2 linked regions of the Arabidopsis thaliana genome follow. The protein of the gene in region 1 binds, or shares a complex with, the protein of each later gene. Each region holds a gene or a part of one and is shown on either strand. Other genes may lie near its edges.

Evidence for each region.
Region 2: AT1G60900 (region 1) and AT4G14300 share a complex: the UniProt entries of both Arabidopsis thaliana proteins name them as parts of the spliceosome.

Annotation. Positions count from the first base shown.
Region 1 is NC_003070.9:22,422,015-22,428,607, forward strand, and holds AT1G60900 (U2 snRNP auxilliary factor, large subunit, splicing factor), read left to right. Parts: upstream 1-1,879; 5' UTR 1,880-1,993; coding exon 1,994-2,104; intron 2,105-2,378; coding exon 2,379-2,671; intron 2,672-2,754; coding exon 2,755-2,904; intron 2,905-3,214; coding exon 3,215-3,282; intron 3,283-3,912; coding exon 3,913-3,989; intron 3,990-4,084; coding exon 4,085-4,132; intron 4,133-4,210; coding exon 4,211-4,270; intron 4,271-4,384; coding exon 4,385-4,445; intron 4,446-4,530; coding exon 4,531-4,643; intron 4,644-4,749; coding exon 4,750-5,196; intron 5,197-5,264; coding exon 5,265-5,400; intron 5,401-5,507; coding exon 5,508-5,575; intron 5,576-5,654; coding exon 5,655-5,792; 3' UTR 5,793-6,039; downstream 6,040-6,593. Other genes in the region: AT1G60913 (Rapid alkalinization factor (RALF) family protein), read right to left, coding at 6,591-6,593. UniProt on the Arabidopsis thaliana protein: Necessary for the splicing of pre-mRNA.
Region 2 is NC_003075.7:8,228,824-8,234,786, forward strand, and holds AT4G14300 (RNA-binding (RRM/RBD/RNP motifs) family protein), read left to right. Parts: upstream 1-2,178; 5' UTR 2,179-2,355; coding exon 2,356-2,577; intron 2,578-2,948; coding exon 2,949-3,962; 3' UTR 3,963-4,336; intron 4,337-4,485; 3' UTR 4,486-4,940; coding exon of another isoform or gene 4,941-5,188; 3' UTR 5,189-5,253; coding exon of another isoform or gene 5,254-5,404; 3' UTR 5,405-5,458; downstream 5,459-5,963. Other genes in the region: AT4G14290 (alpha/beta-Hydrolases superfamily protein), read right to left, coding at 133-259, 487-590, 804-885, 1,197-1,234; AT4G14301 (uncharacterized protein), read right to left, coding at 4,941-5,188, 5,254-5,404. UniProt on the Arabidopsis thaliana protein: Involved with pre-mRNA processing. Forms complexes (ribonucleosomes) with at least 20 other different hnRNP and heterogeneous nuclear RNA in the nucleus.

The DNA of each region.
Region 1 (6,593 bases):
TCTCTACCTCTTCAAATTCACCAAATTTATTTTTTAAATAGTTTCCATCACTTGTCAATGTCACATCACCTATCATCTATCTCTCTTTTTCTCCCTCTCGTCCTTTTTCATCACTTTCATCATTCATGCATCTCTGCCCCCATTCTCTATTTTCTTCTATATTTCTCTAGTCAACCAAAAATTTTGCCTTAAGGAAACCAAAAGAGAAATCCAATTGAAAAGGATATTAAAATTAAGGGTAATATTAAAAAGAAAATTTTGGGCCCAACATCAGAACACCATTTTATGACTGTTTCTATTGTCGACTGTTTGACAAACTGAACAAACAATGGCTTTGATTGGTGAACAAAATCAAAGCACTACAATTTCTACAATTTATAAATTTATCAATCAAATATCAAAATTGTTACACTGTTTTTTTACAGTTTTTCTGTACTATTTTTCTTTTTCTTTTTTATACATCATTATGTACCATCTTACCATTATAACTACCAGGTAAAAAACTTGTAAATTTTTATATTATTAATAAGACCCAATATATATATATATATATATATATATATATATATATATAAGTTAGCAATCCAATGGTCTTGCAGTCTTTCATTATTGTAATGATGCTTATTAGGTTTTGTACTAAAATTAATGCTAATCAATTTAGAATTTACATAATAATATTTAGAATCATCTGTTTTTGTAACTATCTTAGTTTTAGAACTAAAAATAAAATAACCCAAAAAAAACTGGTAAGTACTAGTCTCTAATAGCTATGCTTTCTTTCTACAATATTATGGTAGTCAAATTATAAAAATATGGGGATGTTTCGAATCTTTCTACCGTAAAACTGGTTGTGTCCAAACGTATATATTTGGGATACAATAAAATAAAAAATAAGACTATTAAGCCAATGAATCATAATGAGGCCATAATTTTAAACGATTAATGGGCTCCTAAATATCTATCTTCATAATTCACACTCCACATGAATCTATTCCTAGTAACCCTAAGTGTTTTAATAATAGGATCTAGAGATGTTCGAAGATATAATTGCATTTTACTTTTCGTCGTACTTATGACGAAGCAAGCCTTGGACATCTCCGTTTTAAAACAGGGATCTCATGATCTTGAAAAGGATTCTTCAAGAAGCACAGAAAAAGACAAATTCGTATGAATTATTGACTCATATCAAAGTTATTTCATATAAACAAAATCCTATGAATTATTGACACTAGTCAAAACTCAATGAACAGATTGATTGGCCGTGAATGCTACGGTCCATGAAGGGATCGAGTGTGGACCAGTCTCTGCAATATATGTTGTTAGGTTGACTTGTTTTCACTAGAATCGTATGTTTTTCCAATCCATCAGTACGTTTAACTTCAAACCACCGTCAAATGAAAGCTAATTTAAACTTCTTCTTTTTTTGTAATATTTTGTGTCAACAATTGAATTTGATCCATGGTGAGAGAAACCTCTAAACGCCGGAGATATTTGTGATGTTTTAACGTGGTCTTTCATCTTCAATTGCTAGTTACGCCTAGAAACATATGTGACTTTAAACTATCAGATAAAGACTTATAAAACACACTTTTAAAAAGTCATAAACAAAGACATCTAATAATAATCAACCCTTAATTACACAAAAAATAATAATGTAAAACAATATTAGAATGATCAATTTTTAAAATATTTAGTTTTTTTTTTTTTTTGGTGATAGAAACTAAAAATTTAGACTATAAGCCGATAAAGCTGATAAGCCCATTAAGTATAATGAGACCCTAGTTTTCAAATTTGGACTAGACAAGCCCATTTACGGTTTTGGTGTAACACCAAAAAATACTGTTCAATTTACAATAATACCCATATATCACTTCATCTTCCTCGAAGAATCTTCATAATTTTTAATTCATCCTCCATTAGAATCCCTAGGGTTTTCTTCCATACACAATCAGACTCAACGATAAGTACCAATCGGAGAAGAGATCACAAGTGGATGATGAGTTACGAAGGCAACGGAGATGGTGTCGCTATCTCCACCGAAAACCACAACGAGAACTACATATCTCTAGAGAGCTCGCCTTTTCATGAAGACTCCAAGTCTCGAGTATGTTACACTTTCTTCTTTACATATCTTGCGTTCGATTCTGTAGCTTTTAGGTTTCTCTCGTGAATTAGACTGGTAATCATAATTTGTTCTCCACTTGTATTGTAATTTGGTACAATTCTCGGATTCTGCTTGTTGAATTTATGTTTTTGATAGTTTGATTTGAAGGATTCACTGGATTTAGAGTATATATTATCATGTTAAGTTCATATGTTCTCTTTAGAAATCTGGGGATAGTATATGAGAGAAGCCTTTTGACATTTGTTTCCTGCAGGAATCTCATGATCTTAAAAAGGATTCTTCGAAAATCAGTGAGAAAGACAATGAAAATGGACGTGATAAAGACGGAAACAAAGATCGTGATCGTGAGAAGGATCGTGATAGGGAGAAGAGCAGAGACAGAGATAGGGAGAAAAGCAGAGATAGAGATAGGGATAGGGAGAGAAGTAAGGATAGGCAACGAGACCGTCATCATAGAGATCGTCATAGGGACCGTAGCAGAGAACGTAGTGAGAAAAGAGATGATTTGGATGATGATCATCATCGCAGAAGTCGAGACCGTGATAGGTACTCATTAGTGTGTTGCAATTGTTTTTGTAGTTTTAGATTGTTTTATTCTTAAAATTGAAGGTGTAGTCATTTCTCGACAGGAGGAGGTCTCGCGATCGAGACAGAGAGGTGAGACACAGGCGACGGTCACGCTCTCGGTCAAGGAGCCGCTCTGAACGTAGGTCAAGGTCAGAACATAGACATAAGTCTGAACATAGATCACGCTCACGGTCGCGATCAAGGTCAAAGAGGTACCTGGGCTCTCCTGCTATTTTTATCTTTTCTAACTAGTTCTTTCCGTGGCCACATTGCAATGTGTTATGATATTGATGTCAAATCAAATAAAACCATTATTGTTTAGTATTTGATGTCTTTGTTTTGTTGACACAATATGATTATCATGGTCTTCTACTGGGTTGAACGGTCCCTCCTTATATGATTACCAATATTTTAGTCTGATCTGGGTCATTGATGTTTATGTGTGTTTCATACGTTTACTTGGCATTATTTTTTCGAACTCGTCTCTACTGATGTCTAACCAATTATATTTTGCTCTTTCAGCAAGAGGAGAAGTGGATTTGATATGGCGCCTCCTGATATGTTAGCTGCTACTGCTGTTGCTGCAGCAGGTATTTGCTTCATCATCTACTCAGGGTTATTATATTTCTTAACTGCTTGTTGTTTTTGATTTTACGTAGTTTGGAAAGATCATAGTCAATTACACGGTGTGACTTTGGTAAGCTGCAATTTTATTGTTTACTCGTGAACAAAGAGGACTTTGAAGTCTTGCTTTCTTCATAGGATGTCTTGTTATTTTTGTTTGACTGGTGGTTCTGGAACTGAGAAATTTTTTGTTTGTGTTTTTTTGGTGGTGTTTGTTTGTTTCTGTGTCTTGTCTTTTTGTAGTAAGAAGGCTATGTTGGGTTAGTTGCCCCACTGTGCTGACAATGAGCCGACCTCTCTAGCTTTAATTGTACAAGGAGGAATCAGTGCAACGGTTGTCATGGGTATTTTTCATCTTCGACTGGCAACTATATGCCTGTTTTCGAGCCTTACAATCTCTGACAACTAAAACGAATATTACATCACAACTTTTCATTTTAATATTCATAAGTTGTTGGTATACTTTCTACTTGTGGGTTTTGTAAGTAGCAAGGTGTTATCTGTAGCTTTGTACTTGTTGGTAGGTCTGCTCCTCCGGGAAACATAATAATGTATCTAACAAACATTTTTATGACGCATACTACTTTACCTAGCAGGCCAGGTTCCTAGTGTGCCAACTACTGCTACTATTCCAGGGATGTTCTCAAACATGTTTCCAATGGTCCCTGGTCAGGTATAAAAATTTGTATTTTTGTGTCTCTTATGTTCCTCTTTTCTTTTGTTTTATGCGAACATGCTCAGAACTTCTCAATCTTTTTTCTCACATAGCAACTAGGTGCGCTTCCTGTACTGCCAGTTCAGGCAATGACTCAACAGGTACGATCTATCAATCTATCTTATTCTTAGGTTCTTCACCTTTTGTCACGATTCCCTTCCTAAAATATGTAGTCGCAGGCAACTAGGCATGCTCGGCGAGTCTATGTTGGTGGCCTTCCACCAACTGCTAATGAACAGGTTTGTTACTTTTGTTTTGTTTAAGGTTTTGTGACTTTTTGTTTATTATTGTCTATTTAAACCACATTTCAATATCCATTGTATGCCTACTGAGAATGGGTTTTCATGTCCTAGTCGGTGTCAACGTTCTTTAGCCAAGTGATGTCGGCCATTGGGGGAAACACTGCTGGGCCAGGTATTGAAAAGTTCATTATATTTTTGTCATATTGGCCGCAAGTCTATACGAAATCTCATCCTTTTTTTGGATTATTAATTCATAGGTGATGCGGTGGTCAATGTTTATATAAACCACGAAAAGAAGTTTGCTTTTGTAGAGATGAGATCTGTTGAGGAGGCTAGTAACGCAATGGCATTAGACGGCATTATATTAGAGGTGATTTATTAGCTCTTCTACACTTTAGATGTTTGGTGTTTATTAGTTACAATCTGTATTATGAGTATTGAAACCTATCTGAAATCATAGCTTTTTTCATCTCTAGGGAGTTCCTGTAAAGGTGAGGAGGCCAACTGACTATAACCCGTCTCTTGCTGCAACTCTTGGTCCGAGCCAGCCTAATCCCAACCTCAACTTAGGGGCTGTTGGATTGTCTTCAGGGTCTACTGGTGGGCTTGAGGGTCCCGACCGCATTTTTGTGGGCGGACTTCCCTATTACTTCACAGAGGTACAGATCAGGGAGCTCTTGGAGTCTTTTGGGCCCCTAAGAGGTTTCAACTTGGTCAAAGACAGGGAGACTGGAAATTCGAAGGGATATGCATTCTGTGTTTACCAAGATCCGTCAGTAACAGATATTGCATGTGCCGCTCTAAACGGGATTAAGATGGGTGATAAGACACTTACAGTTAGGCGTGCAATCCAGGGTGCAATTCAACCTAAACCCGAGCAAGAAGAAGTCTTACTTTATGCCCAACAACAGATTGCTTTGCAGGTAAAGGATTCTGATTCACTCTATCTAAATGATCAGTAATGCTAAATCTGTCTCAAACTTTGTTGCAGAGGCTTATGTTCCAACCAGGAGGTACTCCCACCAAGATTGTCTGTTTGACTCAAGTGGTTACAGCTGATGATCTTAGAGACGATGAAGAATATGCAGAGATAATGGAGGACATGCGACAAGAAGGTGGAAAATTCGGTAAGCAATTAGATTTTCTTATTGTCTGTTCTGACATTATACCAATAGCACATTACTGAGGCTCATGGTCTAAAATGAACTTTGATAAATCATTGTTGTGTGTGTAGGTAACTTAGTGAATGTTGTGATTCCGAGGCCTAATCCAGATCATGACCCAACACCAGGAGTTGGGAAGGTTAGATTTCAGTCCTCAGATACAAATGTCTACCAAATTCATATATAAATTGCATACTCTAATGGTAATACTAATGCAGGTTTTCTTAGAGTATGCGGATGTGGATGGCTCATCAAAGGCCAGATCGGGGATGAATGGAAGAAAATTTGGAGGAAACCAAGTAGTGGCTGTGTATTACCCCGAAGACAAGTATGCCCAAGGCGACTACGAAGACTGAGCTATCTATCGTCTTCTTCTTAAGCTTTTAGTTTGGATCTCTTAGCAACAAGTTTGGTTCTTTTTTATTTTTAAGTTTTTTACATGTTTAGTTCTCTCTCTACTAAATGGAGAAATTTGTCTAGAATCTGACTGCAATAGTACTTGTCCAGGCACAATCAATTAAGGTGTGTGTTGGTAATAGTAGCTTTTGGTTTCATTGAACACTAACCAAACCACATCAGTTTATATTATTGTTCTTTTAAAAACTAAAAGACCAAACCACATCAGTTTCTAAATGCAATGCTGGAACATGTGCAATTGCTCTCACTAAACGTGAAATACTGGATTTATATTAGAAAAGTAAGATAGTAGGCAAGTAGCACCAGTGGTCTAGTGGTAGAATAGTACCCTGCCACGGTACAGACCCGGGTTCAATTCCCGGCTGGTGCATTTGAGCGTTGATGAAATTTGCTTTAAGCTAAGGTTGGGTCCTTAGCAATTCTCCGATGAATCGGATAATATAGCCTCATATCTGAGCTCATTTGTTTTTTATTTTATTTTACAACGAAAGTTACATGTCATGCTTTCACAAGACACATCTCATGTTACACGAACTTGAAGTTATGCCTGATAACACATTAATTTATAATTTATTAAAATATATATAACAATAATTTGAAGTTAAAAAAAATGAAAGAATTTTAAAATAATTAAAATTTGATAATGTAACAAGTTCCATATCACATCAATAATGTAGATTAGTGATAAATTTTTTTTCATATTTAGTAGAAAATGATTTGTATATATGAATACATAATTA
Region 2 (5,963 bases), on another chromosome or scaffold:
AACAAATATCAATCGAGAAGCAGATATATTGACTTAAGACAGCTTGTTTACTCCAAACAACGATAAGTTTAGGCCATAACAGCTGAAGGGAAGAAGAGGAATATTTTGAGAAAAGATCAAAGGAGGACATACTTCGTTCCAACCCAAAGTGACATGCTCCCCGCCAGAGAGACCGGATCCCGAAAAGTCAAGCGTGAAAATCGTGATGTTTGAAGGAAGTAATACGATCGCAGCTTCACTGGCATCAGCTCTACATCCACTGAATAAGAATGAATCCATTAATGAATAGTATACTAAAAGAAACATTAAGCTATTATGATAATTGGAAAACTTTAGTAATGTTGGCAACCATATCAGTTGTTTCATTTCAATGCATGGTTGTCATAGTATCCTACCAGCTATTGCATCGATTGAAGGATGAGTTAACTAGCTTATTTCACCAGTACAGCTCAAATCACGTTTTATTAAAATAAAAGTTACGATTACCTGTTGCCATGGCAGTATATTACACAAGGTAGAGGCCTATCTTCAGGACGCTCAACTGGCATGTAATGACTACACTGAAGGATATCTCCTCTGATGTTTTTAACCTGTCACAATATAAGTTCTTCTATAGTCTTAGGTGAACAAAGCACAACTAAAACCTTGAGATCCTAAAGGCAGTCCAAGGCTGGAAAATAAGGAACTCACGCTGATCAACAGTGAACAACTGATGAAATCTACATTGACATTGAATCACAACATGTTTGCTTGGATTCTCTAGTCAGGAGTTCACAACAACAACAGAAGAAAAAAAGCTTTACCTCTAAATCTTTCCTCTGGTACCATCTCCCTTTAAGCAAGAACTCTTGTTCCAAGAGATCATGTTCTGGATTGTATTCAGCTCTACATCAAAACACCAGTTATATTCAACCGTAGATGAAACAAACTAATTAAAACAAATTGGATTTGAAAGAGGAACAGGGTTTTCTTGAGGAAATGCAACCCTAAATCCTAGTATATATTACTTCATCTATATAAAAATCCAAAATCAACTCAAGAACAAGAACCAAAATTTCAAAACTCAAATCTAAAAATCTAAACTTTGTGTGAAACCCAATTCTACAACCTAGTAAAGAGAAATAGAAAGATGAAACTGAAAACTAAATTCCAGAATCAGTAAGTAATTTTTTTCAATTTTCTGAGAGAATCATCACCTTGGAGGTCGAATGACGAAGTTAACAAGCTGCTCCATTAGAAAAAAATCAAACAAATCACCTTCTTCTTCTTCTCATTCTTCCATATTTCTCACAAATAGTCAAAAATCGAATAAAACCTAACCAACGAAAGAGATTCAGATAGAACAAGAAATGTAACTAAAAAAACCCTAAATCAAAAGATCGAGCTGTTCCAGAAGAAAGACAGTGAGATCGAAGAAAGAAAAACACAGAGAAAGAGAAGAAAATAAAGCAAAGTAATAGAAAAACGGCTTTTTCGTTGTTGAAGCCTGAAACTGTTTTTATATTTAAAAATATATAAACAAACTTTATAAATTAGCCCCACATTTTTGCCGCTTTTTACATTTAACGTCTTCACATTTCATTATGGAAATTAATTAATTGGTATTGTCATGTATAATCATTAATCATTATTACTAATTCCAAAGTTTTTTCAGTGAAAGCTGACATTGACCAAAGTCTCTTAAAAAATTTCGAAAAAAAACTCAAAAATTCAATTAAGGTTTTTTAGTGGAGATCGTGCACGTTAATTGTCGTTTATAGGCTATTGTTTTAATTATTTTAAAATATATACGAGGTAATTAAGAGATTAATTAAACTTAAACATATGAGGTTAATTATTACAAGTACTAATAAAGCTGTAATGTGGAGTTTGGAATTTTCGACAACAAAGTGCACATCTGGCACAGAGATTGTCACAGCACGAAAGATTTTTTTGTCGTTCTTGTAGGATTTGCTGGCACGTGTGGAATAGAAAACACACGAGTGAAACCATCGTCGGTCTTTGTAGCCCATTATTTATACTTCTATTGGGCTGGACTTAAGCCCATAAGTAAGCATCTCTGTTACAAGAAAACGGGAAACAGATCTGAACCGTTAATAATATTAGAAAGGATCTAGACCGTTGATTTATTTATCTGCTGACAGATTCGTACCTTCGCGAATATCAATACCAAACCAATAGAAATATTCGTTCGCTGTCTTCTTCCTCTTCCTCCTCTCAAATCGGCTACAGCCATTGGAAAAGCTAAAGCCTTTTCGTAATTTCTGGAAGTTTCTGCAGTCGGTTTTCACGGTTTCGTAGATTGAGGTGGATTTGTGATTCTGGGTCAGAAGTAAGATAGTGGAATATAAATTCATGGATTCGGATCAAGGAAAGCTTTTTGTCGGTGGTATTTCATGGGAAACTGATGAAGATAAGCTGAGAGAACATTTCACCAACTATGGAGAGGTTTCTCAGGCTATTGTGATGAGAGACAAGCTCACAGGTCGACCTAGGGGTTTTGGGTTCGTTATCTTCTCGGATCCTTCTGTTCTCGATAGGGTTCTTCAAGAGAAACACAGCATTGATACCAGAGAGGTTATTATTGTTCTCTTATAGCTCCATTTCTCTAATTGTGTTAAAGTTTTATCCTTTTTGCGTTTTGCTGTGTTGATTGAGAACGAGAGTAAATATAGAATTTTGTTTGGTTGGCAAATTCGCCTTAGTGTTTCTTAGATTCTAGGATTGGTTTTAACTTGTATAAGAGGTATTATAGGGTACTCGATATATGTTAATCGTACACTCTATGAAGTGATTGAGTATAGTATTAGAAAAGAGAGCTTGGTTTGGTTTATTAGGATAAGGAAAAACAGATGTATATATTTTCTGTTGCGTTATGTTCTCGATTTGGGTAAAGTATGATTCTTGGAAGTTTATTATGAGCTTTATTGATTTTGGTTAATGTTTAGGTTGATGTGAAGAGAGCCATGTCAAGAGAGGAGCAGCAAGTCTCTGGAAGAACTGGGAATCTTAATACATCTAGAAGTTCTGGAGGTGATGCTTACAATAAAACCAAGAAGATCTTTGTTGGAGGCTTGCCACCTACTTTGACTGATGAAGAGTTTCGCCAGTACTTTGAAGTTTATGGCCCTGTGACTGATGTTGCAATCATGTATGACCAGGCTACCAACCGTCCTCGTGGGTTTGGATTTGTTTCCTTCGACTCTGAAGATGCGGTAGACAGTGTTTTGCACAAGACTTTCCATGATTTGAGCGGTAAACAAGTTGAAGTAAAGCGTGCTCTTCCTAAAGATGCCAATCCTGGAGGTGGTGGACGATCAATGGGTGGTGGTGGCTCTGGTGGTTACCAGGGTTATGGTGGCAATGAAAGCAGTTATGATGGACGTATGGATTCCAATAGGTTTTTGCAGCATCAAAGTGTTGGAAATGGTTTACCATCTTATGGTTCTTCTGGTTATGGCGCTGGCTATGGAAATGGTAGTAATGGTGCCGGGTATGGTGCCTATGGAGGTTACACTGGTTCTGCTGGAGGTTATGGCGCTGGTGCTACTGCTGGATATGGAGCAACGAACATTCCAGGTGCTGGCTATGGAAGTAGTACTGGAGTTGCTCCGAGAAACTCATGGGACACTCCAGCTTCTAGTGGTTATGGGAACCCAGGCTATGGGAGTGGTGCTGCTCATAGTGGATATGGAGTTCCTGGTGCAGCTCCTCCTACGCAGTCACCATCTGGCTATAGTAACCAAGGCTACGGTTATGGAGGGTACAGTGGAAGTGATTCTGGTTATGGAAATCAAGCTGCATATGGTGTGGTTGGAGGGCGTCCTAGTGGTGGCGGTTCAAACAACCCTGGTAGTGGTGGCTACATGGGAGGTGGTTATGGTGATGGATCTTGGCGATCTGACCCGTCACAAGGTTATGGTGGTGGGTACAATGATGGTCAGGGTCGACAAGGCCAGTAGTGACTGTGTAAGGGGATTATGACCGCCCTGGTTTCTGGATCCTTGTCAAGAAGAATTTAGCTCAAATCAAAGGTTCCACAACTTCCTAACGGGTTGGACTGCTTGAATCTCTTTATAAGCATGTGCTATCTATTACAATAAGTCACTTCTATTAAGTTATTTTTCGGTTGAGTGTACTTTTGAGTTTTGGCAGAGTTATTATAACTACAGGCTTTGCTGTTTTCGTATTATGTTTGTCTTCCTAGTATTCTTGCCGGATTGTTTGTTTTGATTGTGTTATTTTGTTTTGGCCCTGATGGATATAACTTAAGCAGGGAATAATGCTTCAGGGTACTTGTTAAGAAAGCAGATGGTGAGAGCAGAACTCGATGGAGGTGAGAGTCAAATTGCTGAATGTATGGTTTGAGTAGAAAGTAGAGGTAGTTGGTAACGTTAGTGGTACCATTAAGAAGAAGGTGTAGAAAATAGTGAGAGGTAGCTTTGAGAAAAAGGCATAATCATTTTGCGTCGTGTGTTTGTACAGGACTTATCAAGGGCTGCTTGAGTTCTTAGGTGGGGCAACGACTCATCGAGGTTGAATTCAAGGTCTGCTCCTACTCCGAGTTGAGGTAATCACTTGAAGAACGAAGAGGCAAGGTGTTATCAGTATGTGAGCTACTAGGTTCTTTTGTGAGGGGTGAGATTGAAACAAACATAGATAGGCACACACTGTGATAGCACAAGGCAGAGCCACATTGTTAAAATATCTTTTGGGATTACGGGGTTTGATCCGTAATGATGGATATTAGGATACCAAATTCTCATAATTATAGATAGAAACTAGTGGAAACTCAACAGTACAAAGCTTATCTTGAGCTGTGAAACTCAAAGTTACAAATACGTGAAAGCTAATTTAATTTATTCAGAAGTAGTTGCTTTAACCAACTTGTTTACGTGAGACATCCATGCAATGCAACTACAATCTTCTTCTCATTTAGCTCAGTGGTGTCCAAACCAGCCAACACCAAAGCCCCATCCTTTACCTTTTCCAATGCCGCCTCCAATACCACCACCTTTGCCTATTCCGCCGCCAAAGCCCCATCCTTTACCTTTTCCAATGCCGCCTCCAATCCCACCACCTTTGCCGATTCCACCACCAAAGCCTCCACCTTTACTAATGCCACCTCCAAAACCACCGCCTTTGCCTATTCCGTGGCCGAAAATGCCTCCACCTTTACCAATGGCACCTCCAAAACCACCACTTCCCCGGCAGCGATTCCACCTCCTTTGCCAAATCCTCCACCAAAACCACCTCCAAAGCCCTTTCCTCCGCCTATGATGGTCTTCTCCTCTTCATCTTTTCCAAAGGTCACACCTTCTCTTGCAGCCACATAATTCACCACAAAAACATTGAACCACAACAAAGCCAAGAGAGCAGCTCCGTTAACAACGAGACTCCCCATCTCTTTTGTTTTTTTTGTATGTATTAAGTTATGTTTGTTTTTGTATAAGCCAAGACGAGACCAGCTCCGTTTATAAAGGCGAGTGAGTAGCCAATTAATTACACCAACTACTAACTGATCCCGATTGTTTTAACCTCAACTCGTAAATGACTTTACGTTTTCGTAGATTACCCATCACATATTCACTCTTACCATGACTTCATCGACGCATTTTCTAGTCTATAAGACTATAAGACTACAACTCCATACGAGCTTTAAGTTTTCATTTTGGTACAGTAAGCATATAACCTTTTTTTTTGTCAAATACAGAAGTATATAACTTTCTCCAAATCATTTTCTAGATAAAGTAATAACATTTTCGTTATGTTCTTTTTTGAAGCACATCATTTCAATAAATTTGAAAAACTTTTTTTCTTTTTTTTGATTGAGAAACTCTCGTTATATGGAAGTGAGAGAATGATCAGAATAATAAACTATAGTTTGCTACGTCAATGGACAACGTTTATTATTGGTTTTTTAGTTTGGTGGTTTGATTCTATGTACGTAGACGTTTAATCTA